Linked DNA regions of Oryctolagus cuniculus. The protein of the gene in region 1 interacts with the protein of each later gene in a pairwise test. Links are inferred from orthologs where the notes say so. Each region holds a gene or a part of one and is shown on either strand. Other genes may lie near its edges. The genes, in order: TXLNB, EXOC5 and cancer/testis antigen 55.

Region 1 (6,235 bases):
CCAACTCGCACCCCTCCCATCTCCCGCTCCCTCTCCCATTCCATTCACATCAAGATTCATTTTCAATTATCTTTATATACAGAAGATCGATTCAGCATATATTAAGTAAAGATTTCATCAGTTTGCACCCACACAGAAACACAGAGTATAAAAATACTGTTTCAGTACTAGTTATAGCATTACTTCACATTGGACAACACATTAAGGACAGATCCCACATGAGGAATAAGTACACAGTGACTCCTGTTGTTGACTTAACGATTTGACACTCTTGTTTATGGCGTCAGTAATCTCCCTAGGCTCTAGTCTTGAGTTGCCAAGGCTATGGAAGCCTTTTGAGTTCGCTGACTTTGATCTTATTCAGACAGGGTCTTAGTCAAAGTGGAAGTTCCCTCCTCCCTTCAGAGAAAGGTACCTCCTTCTTCCCCAAGAGCTCTTATAAGGGCCATAATCCCATTCATGAGGGCGCTACTCTCATAGCCTAATCATGATCTCTCAAAGACCCGCACTCGCTTCTGTCATCACTGGGGAGTTCGGATGTCAGTGTATGAACTCGGGGGCATACAAACATCCAGCTCATAGCAAGCAATAAAGGATGTGTCAGTATCAAATTAAATCATAGCAGGTGACACAAGTGAAACATCTGTAATAATCTGAATGGGCCAAGTCTTGAAGAAACTGTATCACTTTTTAAAGCTTTATTTTATTTTATTTGAAAGACAGAGTATCAAAAAGAGAGGGAAAGACAGAGAAAGAAAAATCTTCTATATGCTGGTTCACTCCTCAAATGGCTATAACAGTTGTGGCTTGGCCAGGCTAGAGCCAGGAGCCTGGGACTTCATTCAGGTCTTCCACATGGCAGGGGCCCCAGTACTTGGGCCATCTTCTGCTGCTTTCCCAGGCACATTATCAGGGATCTGGGCTCAATATGGCACCACAGGCAGTATTTTAACCAACTGTGCCTCAAGACCAGCACCTTGAGTCACTTCTTATAGAAAAACACCATGAACTCAAAAGGACCAACAGTCAGCACCAATATTCATGTTGCAAGTTGCACCTTGGACTCTGCACAACATTATTGCCAGAAAAAAAGTAATATTGGTAATTTAATTGCATTTATTGGTTTTATACTATATAATTACTGTAAGGATAAGAAACATCTATTTTCATATTAGTATATATTAGTCCAAATAATAATTTAGTTCAATCATAGAATGAATTTTTCCCTTTAAATTAAATTCAACATTATTTAAACTATTCTGTTAAAAAAATGTGCATAAATTTGAGAAGCACTGACTCATTTACTGACAAATCTCATTAGGTCAATTTTCTACAATCAGGTTGTAGCATTCACTAAGTGCTCATTAACGTTAGAAGGAAATACCTTTTTCTTTCATCGATTTTAGTTCACTAACTTTATTACCATGATGCAGTAAACGGCTTCATTGTTGAAATCACCCAGATTTCTTTTCCCTGACCTCTATTTATTAGTTATGCTCACCTATATATAATTTATGCCTCCCCTGACCTCAGAGAAAGGAGTAGGAAAACGCTTGAGAGGGTGCAATGTTTTGGGTTTCCTATTGCTGCCATAACAATTTACTATAAATTTAGCAGCTTAAAAAAAAAACTTACTATCTTATGCTTCTGTAAGAAACCCAAAAGGAGCTAAATGGGGCTAAAATCCACATGCCAGCAGTACTGCATTTTTCTGGAGGCTGCAGAGGAGAATCCATTTCCCTGCCTTTTCCAGTGTCTAGAACCTCCCGCATTCCTTGGTTCACTGCCACACATCACGCTGATCTTTACTGGTCATCAATCTTCTTTTCTAAGTCTGATCCTCTCACCTTCCTCTTACAATTATGAGAACCCTGTGGTTCATAATCCAGAACCATCTCCCCACGCCAAGACCTTAATCTAAGGCAAAATTGTTTTTGCCTTGTCAAGTTACGTGCACAGAACAGGGATTAGGATATGGACATCTTTTGGATGGCATTATTTGGTCTACCACAAGGAGTGCCACTTGGTCCATCCTGTCCCCAAAGCAGAAAGTCTCATAGAAGGATCTGCTTTGGAAAAGTAGGAACACATTCCCTGGGAACTGAAAGAAAAGGGCAGTAAATGTAAGACAGCATTTTACAGTGTGTGGGAATGAGGTTCTTTTTCTGAGGAAGATTGAGGAGCACACAGGGGCTTTGAAAGGGGTGGACACGCTGCTCTGCGAGGTGAGAAAACCCCACTAAGAAGATAAAGCAGACTGCTTTCCTAAGGGCCCGAGATGTGGTAGTCTCCTGGGAAGGACTCTCTGAGGACATGCCAGTCACCATGCACATGAAGATTACTCCCAGCTCCAAAACGCTCACTTCACTGCTATTGCACATTTGCAAACAGCGCAACTGTAGCGTCAGAATTAACGTGGCTCTACCACCTTTTCGGTATGCCCTTGTTTTCTGCTTTGCAGGATTCCTCCAGCATGAAACCTGACACTAATTAGGCTAGCCCCAAGTAGGAAAATAAAGATGATGAACCACAACCCACTCTGGAGATAAACCAAGGAAAACGGATCTCTGCCCAAAAGAACAACAGTGAAAAATCGTATTTGCCAAGGGGCTATCTACTAAGAGTTTAAATTTTTAGAAGAACAAAACGTGGAGAGTCTGATAAGATCTGCCAGCTACTGCTGTTTTCTCAGATATTTGCCAGGGCCACAGCCACTGAAGCTTGGGTGGATTTCTCTCTTGCTGTGTCATAAGATGTTCCTCTCCCCACCCCCACCTCCTCCCTCCTGCTGCCTCCACCAGTGCCTGTGTGTGTGTGTGTGCGCGCGCACGAGTGTGTATTTGGTTTCTCTCTCCCCTGTAAGAACACAGTCCGCCCGCCTTCTCCTGCTGTTGCTGCCGCTCTGACTTGCTCTTTGCTGCTGCTTTCCTCTCTTTCTCTTCCTGCTTAAGCTCCCTGCCTTCTGGTAAGTATGACAAACACTCCCCCAAGCCCTGTGAGATGTAGGGAGTGGTTTGTGGTGCTCGAAACTTGCAACTTTGAGACTGCCAGTGAACTGTTGAAGAACTTTCCATTGTTGCATTTATAATTAAAATGTGTGGCTCAGGAAGGGATGTGTGAGTGCTGGGACTGCCAGCACAAGTGAAATATGCTCTCAGAGGAGGGGAGGAAAGGGCAACACAGTTCACATAGATGAAAGTGAAAATTAAATTCTTTGACATAAAAATAATTTATATAAAAGGGTCCTTTAAAACTAACAATGTTTTTTCCTCTTGTTGATTTGTCTTGAGTCTACTTTTAGAAATTGAGTTGTCCTGTGGTTAATGACTCAGTTATTCTGCCTTAAAGTAAATGTGGAAAAGGAGTTTAAAGAATATTTGTGGAATTAAAGACATCAATGATAATGACATCTGAAGAATGAAGAATAAATCAAATACAAACAAAACATGTGCATGTAGACTAACCACAGTAAAACTCCATACACAGTCGGTTTTAAATTCTTGATTGAAATTCGCTTTCATTTTGATTTGATTTGATTTGATTCTAATATGGGTTCCCAACATTTTAAAACTCACATATGGTCTTAAGTCACTAAATACATACTGTTTTAATTTGATTTAAAAATTATTCTCTTGAATGCCCAAGGATGACGTGCTAAATGCCATGACTCATTTTAGAATAGCTTAAAATAACTTCTGACTGGACAGCAGGTGCCATGTGTCTTTGAGTTTAGAGGAAGCATAAGTTATATATAGATGAGTGTGCCTAACAAGTGGAGATCAAGATCAAGAGATTCCAATGAGGAAAACAAAGAAGCTGTCTACTACATACATTATCTGATCATCAAATTGGTGAATTAAAATTGGTGAAAGAAAAAAAGAACTTCCTTCTAACTTAATGAGTACTTGGTGAGAGCAACAAGTAGGTGGCAATGTCTAAGCTCTGGCTTTTCCTTTCTCGCTGGTGTCCAAACATCTGACACCCACTGCCCTGAGAATGAGGGAAGGGGGCTGTGCCGTTGATACAAGAGTATGTTTTTGTTCTCACTTTCACATGACCATAGCAGCAAAACCTATGAATGATGAGGATCGTGCCATATTTTATGGTCATAAGTAGCATCATCAGCATTAAATATTATTTACAGATAAAATGTTCCATCACTTAATGAACTAACACAAACTGATTGCAAATCTAGAAATGGTAGTAGCCAGACACCCTACAGTAATCTTCCACACAACTTTGTTCCTCACTCCTCATTTCTTAAGAACTTGTGTTATACTTACATTATTTTCCTAGTTCATTCCTTCCCTGCTTTTTTACTTGATATATAATAAAAATGATTGGCCGACGCCATGGCTCACTAGGGTAATCCTACGCCTAGCGGCGCCGGCACACCAGGTTCTAGTCCCGGTCGGGGAGCCGGATTCTGTCCCGGTTGCCCCTCTTCCAGGCCAGCTCTCTGCTGTGGCCAGGGAGTGCAGTGGAGGATGGCCCAAGTGCTTGGGCCCTGCACCCCATGGGAGACCAGGAGAAGTACCTGGCTCCTGCCATCGGATCAGCGCGGTGCGCCGGCCGCAGCGCCAGTCGCAGCGGCCACTGGAGGGTGAACCAAAGGCAAAGGAAGACCTTTCTCTCTGTCTCTCTCTCTCTCTCACTGTCCACGCTGCCTGTAAAAAAAAAAAAAAAAAAAAAAAAAAAAAATTATTAAGTTTCCCTAGAGTTACTTGCCTTGGAATAGAAAGTGATAATCTGCTTTCTTCTAAAAGAAAGCCGATTTTTATAGAGGAATAAAAAGTTATTGTAGAAATTTAAGAAATTGCTATTATTATAAGCATTACCATGTTTCCATATTGGTTGGTTTATTTACACCTTCCCTTATTCCACGTCTTATTACAAAAATGATGCTAGAATGAATTTCAGGAAAAATATTTTTGCTGATTGACAATTAATAACATGTTGCTCATCTGGGAAAAAGAAAATACTAGAAAGGCAAGAATATCTCCTGAATCACTAGAATAATTCATTTACATCCAACCATCTGTACTAATCAACTCTTTACTTACAGGTCAATATAAAGTTAGGGGCATTATTGTTATGAATCATTTAAAGTTAATTGGCTATTGTATTAAGTAATTTAACTTTGAATGAAAACTAATACCACTTAAAATTAAACATATGAAATGTATATACCTGTGTACTTCCAATGATTGTGAATCTACACATATTCATAAAAGAAAATGGTAACATTGGATCTTCTAAGCAAATGACAAATATGTCACGAAAAACAATACTTTGGTAATGTTAATAATAAGGTATACTGAAAACTAAAACCATAAATATGCTAGTAGTATGACTCCATCTGGAAAAATGGCTTCCCACTGTTTCTACCTAACTAATTGTAACAGCAATGATTTGTAAAAGTACATTCACTCTATGTTAGAAACCATAATTAGTTGATGCTCAATTTGCTCACATAACTTAGTGAACTACACAAAACCTAACTATGCTTACCACTTGATACTACACACAGTATGGAGATTAATCACGCTGAACAGCTCTCAGCAGAACAGTCCACACCTCCAGAGGACAGTTCTTCATCACCTAGGCAGAATGGCCTTGAGAAGCAAGATGGTCAGAATTCCCCAACCCTACTCCAAGCACCACAGCAAGAGGCAAGTGTGCACCCTGAAAAGGGGACTCACGACATCTCTGAAGAGTTAAACCGTCAACTGGAAGACATCATCAACACATACGGGTCTGCTGCCAGTACAGTGGGCAAAGAGGGAGCTCCCAAGGCCAAGGAGCAGCCTGCAAATGCAGAAGCAGCCGACCATGAGGATGGAGACTGTGAGGAGAACGCTGGAGAGGCTGACAGAGAACCTGCTGCTTCTGGAGACCCAGCCACAGTTAAAGAGCCAATCAGCAATAAAGAGCAAAAATTGGAAAAGAAAATCCTAAAAGGATTAGGCAAGTAGTTATGTTCTAACATGACTTTTCTTTGAATTATTCCTAAGAGGGGCACTTTCTCCAAACTCCACTAAAACCCACATCTAATATTTGCATCTCCTTCAGATCTTCCCACAGGCTCTCTTGTTCCCAGCCCCTTTCCCACAATAGAGTTTAAGTGAACTTTTTAACATATTACCCATCTTCCCTCTGTCCCAATGGTTTCCCATTGCCTTAGGGTAAAGACTAACATTCTTTTTTTTGGGGGGGGGGCCTCAATTTTTTCTTT
Region 2 (6,135 bases), on another chromosome or scaffold:
TCACTCCCCAGTTGGCTGCAATAGCTGGAGCTGCACTGATCCGAAGCCAGGAGTCTCTTCCCAGTCTCCCGTGTGGGTGCAGGGGCCCAAGGTCGTGGGCCATCTTCTACTGCTTTCCCAGGCCATAGCAGAGAGCTGGATTGGAAGTGGAGCAGCCGATTCTCCAACTGGTGCCCATATGAGATGCCGGTGTTTCAGGCCAGGGCGTTAACCTGCTGCGCCACAGCATCGGCCCCTAAGCATAGGTTTTTCATAATTCACGTACTCTGAATTTTTTTTTCTTTTTTCTTTTAAAACTTTTATTTCGAGTGAGACCCTCCCCCCCCCCCCCAATCTTCTGGTGCTGCCCCCAAAGGCCTAAAATGGCCAGAGGGAGGGCCGAAGCCAGGAGGTGGGAGGGCAGTGTCTGATCCCAGGTGGGTGGTAGAGGCTCTCACCTCTGGCATGGGGAGGGAGTGGAGACGGGCAGCATTACCAGGAGGCAAGAATGGAGAAGTAACCAGGAACTTACACAGGGTACTCAAGAGGCGTCCCAGTGGCTTCCACCCTCAGCTTGTGGTTTCTGTGCCCACCCTGGCTACAAATCAGCTGCATTTAAAGATCAGCTCATTCCACTGAGAGAGTTCCACCCCATCGAGTGGCTGGGTTCAATTCCCACCTCGTTCCACCAACCCAGCATCACACCCCAATCCAGAAGCACCTGTGTTGGCTTGGGGCTAGGATTGCTGACAACTGGAGACTGTAATGTCCAAAGCAGTGTCACTGAGCCACCCTCCCAGGACTTGGGAAAGTATCTTTTGGGTTATTAAGACCCTCACAGCATGGCGGGACAATAGGCTCCCCTGCCCAACCCAAACCAGGCCAGACCTTGGTATTACTCCATAAACTCTGGGAGACGCCCACCCAGCACAAGCAGGGCCAGGAAGCTGCCACCACCCTCCCTCACCGCCCAACCCCAGTACGTGCTGCTCAGCTGAGGAGCCATCAGGGGGGTGTGATATCCCGGTGAAGGTTCCATGGCAGTGTCTGGACTTTTTGAAGACCCTTTCTTTAGGGACCTTAGAAATAGTAATCAGTTAAGGGCAAGGGAATGCTAGTATCATGCTTTTTAAATAATGTTTTGATATTCATCAAGGAAAAAGTGTCAGTCACCGCCATCAGGGTACGTGCGTGAAGTTTGTATAGCTCTAGTAGTAGAGAGATACTGTAGTAAGATAGCCTCAATTTTTGTTCGTCTTCATTTTGCCTGATAGATGACTTTTATAGAATTAAACAAGAATTATAAGTTTAGTCTGTAGAATTTTTAGTAATGATATCAGCTTAAAAAGGAAAAGCACAGGAATTTAATTTACAACCTTGAATGCTGTAGCACTATACTTTCAGGAAACACTTCCTAAACTATGTTTACTGCTGGATTAAGCAACATTCAGTATATTTTTTGTTGTTGTTGTTGTTAATGCAGTTTAGGACTTTCAGTAGCCTTACAAGTTGTGATTCTTTAGAAATGGGATTTTAGTGTACAGCATTTCTCACATTGACCAAGAAACCTTATTTTATAGTCATGCCTGGTAATATCTAAAGGGACACTGGCACTGCCTGGACCACAGTTTGGGAAATGTGCTGTAAGACATTGATGCTGGTGGTGTGGTTTCAGTTGTTTGATTGAATTTGTTTGTCTGTTTTAAATACCTCATGAGGCAGAATAAGCCAGTTTCAAAAGAAAGGGTATTTCTAAACTCATAATACTTACTCCGAAGACTGAACGGGATTTTCTGCAAGCAAATAGGAGAAACAGAAAATAAAATTTTGGTTTTTTTAAAGGCTTATTTATTTATTTGAAAGTCAGAGATCTTCCATCTGATGATTCACTCCCCAGTTGGCTGCAAATGGCCGCAGCTGGGCCAGGATGATGCTAGGAGCAAGGAGTTTCCTCTGGGTCTCCCCTGTTGGTGCAGGAGCCCAAGAACTTGGGCCATCCTCCTCTGTTCTCCCAGGCACATTATCAGGGAGCTGGATTGGAAATGGAGTAGCTGGGAATGGAACCGGTACCCATAGGGGATGCTGGCACTGCAGATGGGGCTTAATTTGCTGTGCCACAGTTCCAGCTCCTTTTCCCCTTTTTAATTTTTATGATTGGTCTGTTTCTCTGAATTGCCTTTGAAGATTTATGTATTTATTTGTTTGGCAGAGTGACAGAGGGAGGTAGAGAGGAAGAGGGAGGAAAGGAAGGAGGAAAGAAGAACACAGAGAGGGAGAGAAAAGGAGGGATGGAGCAAGGAAAGAAGAAAACAGAGATTTTCCATCTGGATGTTCACTTTCCAAATGGTGATAATAGCCAGGAGCCAGAAACTCCATCTGGGTCTCCTACAGGGATGGCAGGGACACAAGCACTTGGGCCATCCTCCACCTCCTTCCCAGGCTTGTTAGCAGGAAGCTGGATCAGAAGCCTAACAGCTGGCACTCGAACTGTAGCTCCAGTTTGGGATGCTGGCCTTGCAAGCTGAGTCACAATGCCAGCCCTTGGTGTTGCTTTCCTGATTGGATTTTAAGTCAGTGTAATTCAAACTATGGAAGAATTTTAGAGACAAAAAAAAAAATCTTGGGGCCGGTGCTGTGGTGTAGCGGGTAAAAGCTGCCTCCTGCAGTGCTGGCATTCCATATGGGCGACAATTTCAGACTCGGCTGCTCCACTTCCAATCCAGCTCCCTGCTATGGCCTGGGAAAGCAGTGGAATATGGCCCAAGTGCTTGGGCCCCTGCACCCACGTGAGAGACCCCAAGGAAGCTCCTGGCTCCTGGTTTCAGGTCGGCACAGCTCTACCCGTTGCAGCCAATTGGGGAGCGAACCATCGATGGAAGACCTCTCTCTCTCTCTCTCTCTCTCTCTCTCTCTCTCTGCCTCTCCTTCTTTCTCTGTGTAACTCTTTGAAATAATAAAATAAATAAATCTTTAAAAGAAAAATCTTGGGAAGTTAAAGAATTTAATATTTACTTAATTAATAGAATGTTGACTTTTTTTTTTCTTTAGGGTTTTGTGAAAGACCAGTTAGAAGAATGTAGGAAATCTGATGCAGAGCAGTATCTCAAAAACCTCTATGATCTATATACAAGGTATATTTTTAATTGTTAGAAAATAATAATCCATCTCAGATTTTTTAAATAGAAAATGGGGAAATATTCAGGTACGTCTGAATAACATTTTGTCAGATAGCAGTATGCCTTTTAGCATTAAATGCATGGCCATATAGAGTAGTAATATGCAAGAGCAGTGTTCTTAGTGCATTAACCTTAGGAATTGGATGCTATGCTTTATGTTAATGTTCTTTAATGATGAAACATAAGACCTTATTTAAACTTAAGACTCAACTTTTTTTTTCTGAATTTAATTGTGGCTGTTTCACTATTCTGTATCATTTTCACCTATAAATTAGTGTAGTTACATTTATCTGAAGTTAAAACTTGCAGAAAATTCAAAAGGGAGTGATATTTGTAACAAATAACAATTTCAGCTTTAAGTGATGTGAGAATTTGTCTTGTACTTTTAAATATTTGTAATCTATTGTACTTTTTTTCAAATATCTGTATAGTCTATTGTACTTTATATATATCCCTGTTGAGCTGCTCTCTGCATCCTAAGTCGTATTCTCCCAAAGTCTAAGAAGTTGTTGCTTAATTAAAAGCATATTGTAAAAATACATATTTCTTAGTATTGTTACTATACAGATGCTGTCTCAGAAGCTTCATTGGAACTTTTGTTCTTGACCTTTTCCAATTCTATTGCTTTTCTTCAGTGTCTTCATTTTGAGAGAAGGTTCTACAAAAGTTACCCTAATGAAGAAGTCCCAGTCAAACACAAGATTATTGTGTACCTATCTTCAACAATAGGAGATAGAAAATTAGAGGAAAGTTCACGAGGACAAAGAGGAAAGGGGCTGAACCGAGAGCAGATCTCCCAAGGCTCTGTTTCGGGTGCTCTGTGGCGAATGGCACTCGAGCATACTTGAGGCAATGGAGTCTTTTGCCACTGTTGTCATGTCTAGACTGCTTCTTTACCTCACAGTTTCTTCTCCTAGAACATCCAGAGGTGCTTGGGATAGTTGTCAGTCATAATGTGATTTTTAATATTCCATTCTAATTTATATAAAATCCTGTAGAGCCACTCTTTGCATCTTAAGTACTCATCTTAAGGATTAAGAAATGGTAGTTTAATGTAATTCATTAAAGTCAAATTGTAAACGTATATTCCTCAGTACTGTTGCTATACCTAAATAAATATACATTAATCTTTTTCTCCCCCTTTTCCATCAAAAGAACCACCAATCTTTCCAGCAAGTTGATGGAGTTTAATTTGGGTACTGATAAACAGACTTTCTTGTCCAAGCTTATCAAATCCATTTTCATTTCCTATTTGGAGAACTATATTGAAGTGGAGACTGGATATCTGAAAAGCAGAAGTGCTATGATCCTACAGCGTTATTATGATTCAAAAAATCATCAAAAGAGATCCATTGGCACAGGAGGGTGAGTGTTCTTGTTAAATATTATAGTTAAAACTGAAGAGATTAAGAACTTTTTTTTTTCAATTTGGGCAAGCATAGAAAATATTGACTGTCATTAGAATTTTCTTTTTCCTTTTTTTAAGATTTATTTATTTATTTGAAAGTCAGAATTACACAGAGAGAGAAGGAGAGGCAGAGAGAGAGAGAGAGAGGTCTTCCATCCGCTGGTACACTCCCCAGTTGGCTGCAACGACTGGAGCTACACCGATCCGAAGCTAGGAGCCAGGAGCTTCCTCCGGGTCTCCCACGCAGGTGCAAGAGCCCAAGGACTTGGGCCATCTTCTGCTGCTATCCCAGGCCATAGCAGAGAGCAGGATTGGAAGTGGAGCAGTCGGGACTAGAACTGCCGCCCATATGGGATGCCAGCGCTTCAGGCCAGGGCGTTAACCTGCTGCGCCCCAGTGCCAGCCCCAGAATTTTTAGTATAGAACTTTTAACCCAGTTGTTCATATCATGTTGACATTTCAACTCTTGACCACATATTGAAATAAATTAATATAACATGATTATAATGTTTAGCAGATGTTTGTTAGTTTTTTAAAAAATTAACTTTTAAAAATGTAAAGCAGAATAGCAGTAATATAAAGAGTTCTGTAGTTTTTTTTTTTTCTGCCAGAGTAAATTATTTCAGGTTATTTTTGTGGAAGTTTATCATTTTTTTGTTTGTTACTTTTGTGAGTTTGAAAATATAGCAGATAGTTCACAATTTAGGTACTCAAATTGATGAATTTTTTTCAATGACTTGGGCATAAAAGTTAAATTAATACTTGAAAACCAATGATTATTCACATACTGGAAGAAAGTGATGTGTAAGAATTGGCTTTCAGTTACCTGGACCCTAACCACTTGGCACCCAGTTGTTTCTAGAAGAAGGCGGAATGATTTCTGTGAATGCAGAGTCCACACCCGTGCAAACCCAAATCAGTGTCTCTTAAAAATAGTTATTTAGTTATTTAGTTATTTGAAAGGCAGAGCTAGGGAGAGAGTGAGAGCGAGTGAGCAAGCGTCCATCTGCTGTTTCACATCTGATAAAGGATTAATATCCAGGGTATATAAGGAGCTCAAGAAAGTCAACAACAAAACAAGCAATCCAGTTAAGAATTGACCTAAAGATATAAACAGGCATTTTTCAAAGGATAAAATGTAGATGGCCAAACAGACACATGAAAAGATGCTCAGGGTCACAAGTCATCAGGACAATGCAAATAAAAGGCATGATGAGGATTCACTTTACCCCACTTAGAATGACTGTCATCTAAAAATCAAAGGTTAACAGATACTGGCAAGGATACGGGTGAAAAGTACCCTAATACTCTGTTGGTTGGAATGTATACTAGTACAACTGTTATGGAAGACAGTGTGGAGATTCTTCAGAAACCTGAAAGTAGATTTAAGGTATGACCCAGCCATTCCACTCCTGGGAATTAACCCAAAGGAAATGAAATCAGCATATCTGTACCCCCATGTTTATAGCAGTTCAACTCAGAATAGCTGAGATACAGCATCAACCCAGATATCTACCAACTGATGACTGGATAAAGAAAATGTGGTCTATAAACACGATGGACTACTACTCA
Region 3 (6,235 bases), on another chromosome or scaffold:
CTCCCCAGGTTTACCATTTTGACGCTGTCTTTCCAGGTCCTTAAAGATGATCCTACTAGAAGTATTGGGGCTGTAATGCAAATGAGAACACTACTGACAGGTCATGATCTGTTTATATTCTCTGACGTGGAAGGAACAATCAGTCCTTACCTGGCTCTTAGAACTTGCCAAATCTGGGATCTATATGAGGAGAGACAGCACCCAGGCGCTTGTTCCAGTGGGTGTGGGAAGCCAAAGACACATAAGGCCTCCAGAGGTTTCTGGCAGAGCTCAGACCAGCAGAGGGAGCTATGGGCTTCCAGGAAGACTCACTGATGATTTAAGCAAGCGCAATCATCAACATCAGAACAAGGCTGTACTTTCAAAAACCAGACAAAATGCTGATGAATAGAATCCCTTGTATGTTGTACTTTCACACCTTGGCCACATCCTTCTCCGCAGCCACCAGCAGGTTGGGTACCAAACTTTATAATTCATCAGCCATGAGTCTGAAAATCAGAGAGGGTACACAATGTTCCCACAACCCCTTCTTAAGTAGTAGAACTGCTCTATTTACTACTCAAACAAGTGCTCTGCAGCCCTGCCATGGTGCTGCCTCTCAGATGTTCCTGGGACTCAGTAGGAATAGCTGTGAATGAAACTAACAGCTAAGAAATAATCATTTCCTGGCTGCTTCCTCGGGTCAGGCACTGTGTTAAATGCCTATTTTTTCACGTGGTTTTTTCATTGCCTTCTCAAAGAACTCTATTTATTTAATGAATTAACCATCATTTTGAAAATGTAAAAAGTGGAGCCGGCACTGTGGCACAGCGGATTAAAAACCCCAGCCGGCACTGCCAGCATCCCATATGGGCGCCACTTCGTGTCTCGGCTGCTCCACTTCTGATCCAGCTCTCTGCTGTGGCCTGGAAAAGCAGTGAAGGATGGCCCACGTCCTTGGGTTCCTGAACCCACGTGGGAGACCTGGAAGAAGCTCCTGGCTCCTGGCTTCATATCAGCTCAGCTCTGGCCATTGTGGTCATCTGGGGAGTGAACCAGCAGATAGAAGACCTCTCTCTCTCTCTGTCTCTCTCTGGCTCTACCTCTCTTTGTAACTCCATCTTTCCAGTAAATAAAATAAATCTTTTTTTAAAAAAGAAAATGTAAAAAGTAAAGCCCAGAGAGTATAAGAGACCTGAGCAAAGTCACACAGTTCATAACCTGAAAAGCTGGGATTCCAACTTAACACTGAATCACTGCAGTGGTGTAGCACATAATTGATTAAGATCTTGCTCCTCATATAACTTCTGAACAGTTATATTTCTCATCCTCCTGATTTATTTGTTAACAGAAGGCAAATGTCAAAGCCTTTGGTGAACTTCCAGCTGAAGTCTGGCCTACACTAATGGAAACAGCGACATCTGTGGGTTACGCTTGTTAACTACATCTGGAGGTCTTTGGGAGGGTGTGATTAGGGCCTTTCTCAAGAAGAGACAGTCACACAGGAGACCTCGAATAGCTAAAGCAATCTTATATAGCAAAAACAAAGCTGGAGGCATCACAATACCAGATTTCAACACATACTACAGGGCAGTTATAATCAACACAGCCTGGGACTGGTACAAAAACAGAGGGCTAGACAAATGGAATAGAATAGAAACACCAGAAATCAATCCAAACATCTACAACCAACTTATATTTGACCAAGGAGCTAAAACCAATCCCTGGAGCAAGGACAGTCTATTCAACCAATGGTGCTGGGAAAACTGGATTTCCACATGCAGAAGCATGAAGCAAGACCCCTACCTTACACCTTACACAAAAATCCACCCAACACTGATTAAAGATCTAAATCTACGACCTAACACCATCAAGTTATTAGATAACATCGGAGAAACCCTGTAATATATAGGCGCAGGCAAAGACTTCTTGGAAAAGACAACAGCCAGAGCAGGGCCAGGCCAAAGCCAGGAGCCAGGAGCAGCATCTGGGTTTCCCATGTGGGTGGTAGGGACCCAACTACTTGGGCCATCTTCCACCACATTCCCAGTCACATTAATTAGCAGAGAGCTGGAGCAGAAGTAGAGCAGCTGGGACTCTAACTGGCTTCTGATACAGGATGCCAGCATTGCAGGCACAGAGTTAACCCATAGTGCCATAACGCCAGACTTTATTCCTCATGTGTGACTGGATCTTAATTTGGGCAACAGGGGCAAGTGTTAACCTGTGTATTGGCGTTGCTCTAAGCACCGCTAACAGACATACTACTTTAGCTGGCTAGTTTGAATAGACACAAAACTCTACTGAATGTACCTTTTAGTAGGTCTTGGCTTTGAGTCAATATTTAAAAAAAAAAAAAAACACTTGCTGACATACATTTTTGTTTCAGAATTGGACCTCTTCCACAGATGCAAGTTCCTTCCAGCCTTTCATTAAATGTCTTACAACCCGTGCCCTGTCCCTGGGAGATTCAAGCACACAGAAGAAGCTTCATCTTGTCAGTGTGCATGCACTCATTCTCTCAGTTCTGTCCCCTTTGGGGTGGCTCAACAGAGGTATCTAATGCATGATGGGGTCATCCAGAGCCCATGTGGTTATGCTCCCCACCTGCCTGCTTGGTGCAGAACAGCAAAGACTTCTTGACTGCCTCATGGCCCTGCATTCACTATCCCCCTCCCCCACCCAGAAGCATACTCCATGGCACTGGCCTTGGATGGAGTGCTCAGCTCTGACTCTGGGAACTTCTCCTTGGACATGGACACCCTGGTCTTGTGGGGACATTGGCTGTCACACACATGAACTCCTCCCCGATGTGTACCCAACCCTACATAGTCTCACTTAGGATCTAGCTCCCTGCTAATGTGCAGGGGAAAGCAATGGAGGATAGCCTAAAGGCTTGGGCCCTTGCACCCATGTGGAAGACCTGGATGAAGCTCCTGGTTCCTGTCTTCCAACTGACCCAGCCCTGGCTATTGCAGCAATTTGGGGAGTGAACCAGTAGATGGAACATCTCTCTCTCTCTCTCTCTCTCTCTCTCTCTCTCCCCCTCTCCCTCTTCCTCTGCCTGTTCTTTCCCTCTCCTTCTCTTTCTGTAACTCTGTCAAAGAAATGAATAGATCTTTAAAAACAAATCTAGGCATATAGACCAAAGGAACAGAACAGAGTTCAGAAATAAATCCACACATTTCAAGTCAACTGTTCTTCAACAATGGTACCAAGAATACACAATGGGGAAAGGGTGGTTCCTTCAATAAATGGTGTTAAGAAAATTGAATATTCACATGCAGAAGAATGACATTGAATTCTTACCTAACACTATATACAAAAGTCAACTGAAAAAAGATTAAAGACAAATGTAAAATCTGAAACTGTACAAATACTGAAAGAAAATAAAATAGGAAAGTCCTGGGATTTTTTTCTTTTGGGGGGAGGGTGTGGGCAATGATTTTTTGATATGACTCCAAAAGCATAGGCTATAAAAGTTAAACTGGGTAAGTGGGACTGCATCAAACTATAAAGCTTCTGCACAGCAAAGAAAACAATACATAGAATGAAAAGGCAGTCTATGGGATGAGAGAAAATATTTTAAGTTACACAACTAATGAGAGATTAATATTAAAAATAAAGAAAGAATACATACAATCAGGTTAAAAAGTAAGCAAAGGACTAGAATAGATATTCCTCAAAAGAAGACATACAAATGGCCAATAGGTATGTGAAAAGTTGCTCAACATAACTAATCATCAGGGAAATATACATCAAAACTACAGTGTTCTATCACTTCATACCCTTTAGAATAGCTATTACCAAGCTGTGAAGACATAACAAGTGCTAGGTATCTTGTGAAAAAAGGGAACATTGTACATTGTTTTGAGAACATAAATTAACTTAGCCATTATGGAAAGTAGATTGGGGGTTTCTAAAAAGTAGAACTACTTTATGATCCAGCAATATCATTTCTGCATATAGATACAGAAATATATATTTATATATTAAACTATATTATATATTTAAAAATATTATATATTAAATATATATAAAGGAAATGAAATCAGTAGCCTGAAGAGATATCTGCACCCCCACATTCATTGTAGTATTTTTCATAATGGTCAACATGTGGAAATAATCTAAATATCCACTGACAGATGAATAGATAACAAAAATATGACACACACAATGGAATATTATTCAACCTTTAAAAAGAAAGAAATCCTGCCACTTCCTACAATATGGATGAATCTTGAAGTCATTAAGCAAAGTGAAATAAGTGAGGAACAGAAAGACAAATACTGCATGATTACATCTGTGAGAAATAAGCCCACCTGAGAACACCTAACCACAAAAAGATAGACTCAGAAACATGAAGGAAGCAGAAAGTGAGGCGTTTACTGATACCTTATCTCAAGAGTGGTGATCAGATGGTGGGAGCAGGTGTTACTCTCAGAAATTTATTTCCTTTTATGCCTGTAGTGCAAAGTTCCCTTCTGCAAGTTTGAGCAACATCAGCAGGTACAATCTAAACATGATAATGCAAGTGAAGGAGGCAATGAAGTATTGGATGTTGCTGGGCAGGTAGGATAGGGGAGAGGGAGATAACAATGTGGTTACATAGTTTAAACTGTTAGGAAGTTAGAAATTAGCCTATGTGTACACAAGTGAGGGCCCATAAATAAAAAAAGGAAGGTAACAGCCATACAAGCAGCACAGTATTTTACACTACAAAGTTCTGCCCATACCCCAGTAGCTCTGCAGGTGGTTCTAGCCTTCCTCCAAAGGGATCACATCTGCCAGGCACCAGGTGGACTGCTCAGTCTGATAACACTTCATACTAAAACCTTGGGAGGAATTTTACATAATTCACACTCAGCACATCCTATTGTCCAGAAGAAGGATCAAGGAAGGAGAAGTGACAGGAAGAACTGGACCCCATTCCCTTAGAAACCCCAGTGTAAAGGTAAACTAGGGGCGCTCTCTCAGATCCTGTCTAGAGAGCAGTCCATCTGTTCTATGAATGCCTATCCTTTAAACCTTGTCACTCTGCCCACCACCCTTCTCTGTCTCATGTCTGAATTGTGTTTTGTGTAAAGACATGAATCTATTCCACTCAGCTTCAATAAGTGAGCTCATCAGCTTTGTTTTGTTTTGTTTAACTTAACTTCCTTTGCAGATGGGGACTAGACCCTGGCATCACGATTGTACTTAGGCTAAATTCTTATGAAAATACACTACTTGGGCCAGCGCCGTGGCGCAGTAGGATTATCCTCTGCCTGCGGCACCAGCATCCCATATGGGTGGAGGTTCTAGTCTCGGCTGTCCCTCTTCCAATCCAGCTCTCTGCTATGTCCTGGGAAAGCAGTGGTAGATGGCCCAAGTCCTTAGGCTCCTGCACCTGCGTGGGAGACCAGGAAGAGGCTCCTGGCTCCTGGCTTCAGATCGGCACAGCTCCGGCCATTGTGGCTATTTGGGGAGTGAACCAATGGAAGGAAGACCTTTCTCTCTGTCTCTTCTTCTCACTGTCTGTAACTCTGCTTCTCAATAAATAAAATCTTTTTAAAAAGAGAAAACACACCACTGGTTCACTTCTAACAACTCCTATATGAGGAATAGAAAATATCCAAAATTACAGGAGCTGGCATTGTGGTATAGTGGGTTAAGCTGCCACCTGCAATGCCAGCATTCCATATGGGCATGGGTTAAAGTCCTGTCTGCTCCACTTCTGATCCACCTCCCTGGTAATGTGCCTGAGAAAGCAAAGGAAGATGGTTGAAGTGCTTGGGCCCCTGCATCCATGTGGGAGACCTGGAAGAAGCTCCTGGCTTTGGCCTGGCCCAGCCCTGGCTACTGTATTCCACCAGCAGGTGGAAGTTTCTCTCTGTCTTTCTGTTTCTGTTTCTGTCTCTGTATCTCTCTCCATAGCTCTGACTTTCAAATAAAAAATAAATCTTTAAAAATAGTTGAAATTACAGAACTAGATTGTACAATAATGGTTGTTATGGTGGAAGAGAAATATGGAGATGTTAGAGCAAAGTTCAGTTATGTGTGCAGGTGTTGTGGCACAGCAGGTTAAGCCATTGCTTGAGACACCGACATCCCATATCAGAGTGCCGGTTTGAGTCCTGGATACTTCATGATTCTTATTCAGTTTCCTGTTAATGCCCCTTGGAGGCAACAAATGATGGCCCCAAGTGCTTGGATTCCTGCCACAAATGTGGAAGTCCTTGATGCAGTTTGTGGCTCCTGGCTTTATCCTGATCCA

The links.
Region 2: the proteins of TXLNB (region 1) and EXOC5 interact in binary tests that used the Homo sapiens proteins (3 or more experiments, as listed by UniProt). The two-hybrid records come from large-scale screens. The link is inferred for Oryctolagus cuniculus from reciprocal best matches to the Homo sapiens genes TXLNB and EXOC5.
Region 3: the proteins of TXLNB (region 1) and cancer/testis antigen 55 interact in binary tests that used the Homo sapiens proteins (3 or more experiments, as listed by UniProt). The two-hybrid records come from large-scale screens. The link is inferred for Oryctolagus cuniculus from reciprocal best matches to the Homo sapiens genes TXLNB and CT55.

What each region holds. Positions count from the first base shown.
Region 1 is NC_091436.1:29,548,838-29,555,072, forward strand, and holds the start of TXLNB (beta-taxilin), read left to right. Parts: upstream 1-2,769; 5' UTR 2,770-2,965; intron 2,966-5,530; 5' UTR 5,531-5,531; coding exon 5,532-5,967; exon of another isoform or gene 5,968-5,971; intron 5,972-6,235. UniProt on the Homo sapiens protein: Promotes motor nerve regeneration. May be involved in intracellular vesicle traffic.
Region 2 is NC_091443.1:19,537,479-19,543,613, forward strand, and holds part of EXOC5 (exocyst complex component 5), read left to right. Parts: intron 1-3,027; coding exon 3,028-3,110; intron 3,111-4,310; coding exon 4,311-4,520; intron 4,521-6,135. UniProt on the Homo sapiens protein: Component of the exocyst complex involved in the docking of exocytic vesicles with fusion sites on the plasma membrane.
Region 3 is NC_091453.1:113,582,728-113,588,962, reverse strand, and holds the start of cancer/testis antigen 55, read left to right. Parts: upstream 1-2,676; coding exon 2,677-2,745; intron 2,746-4,449; coding exon 4,450-4,551; intron 4,552-6,235. UniProt on the Homo sapiens protein: Plays a role in spermatogenesis, possibly acting in the regulation of the autophagy pathway.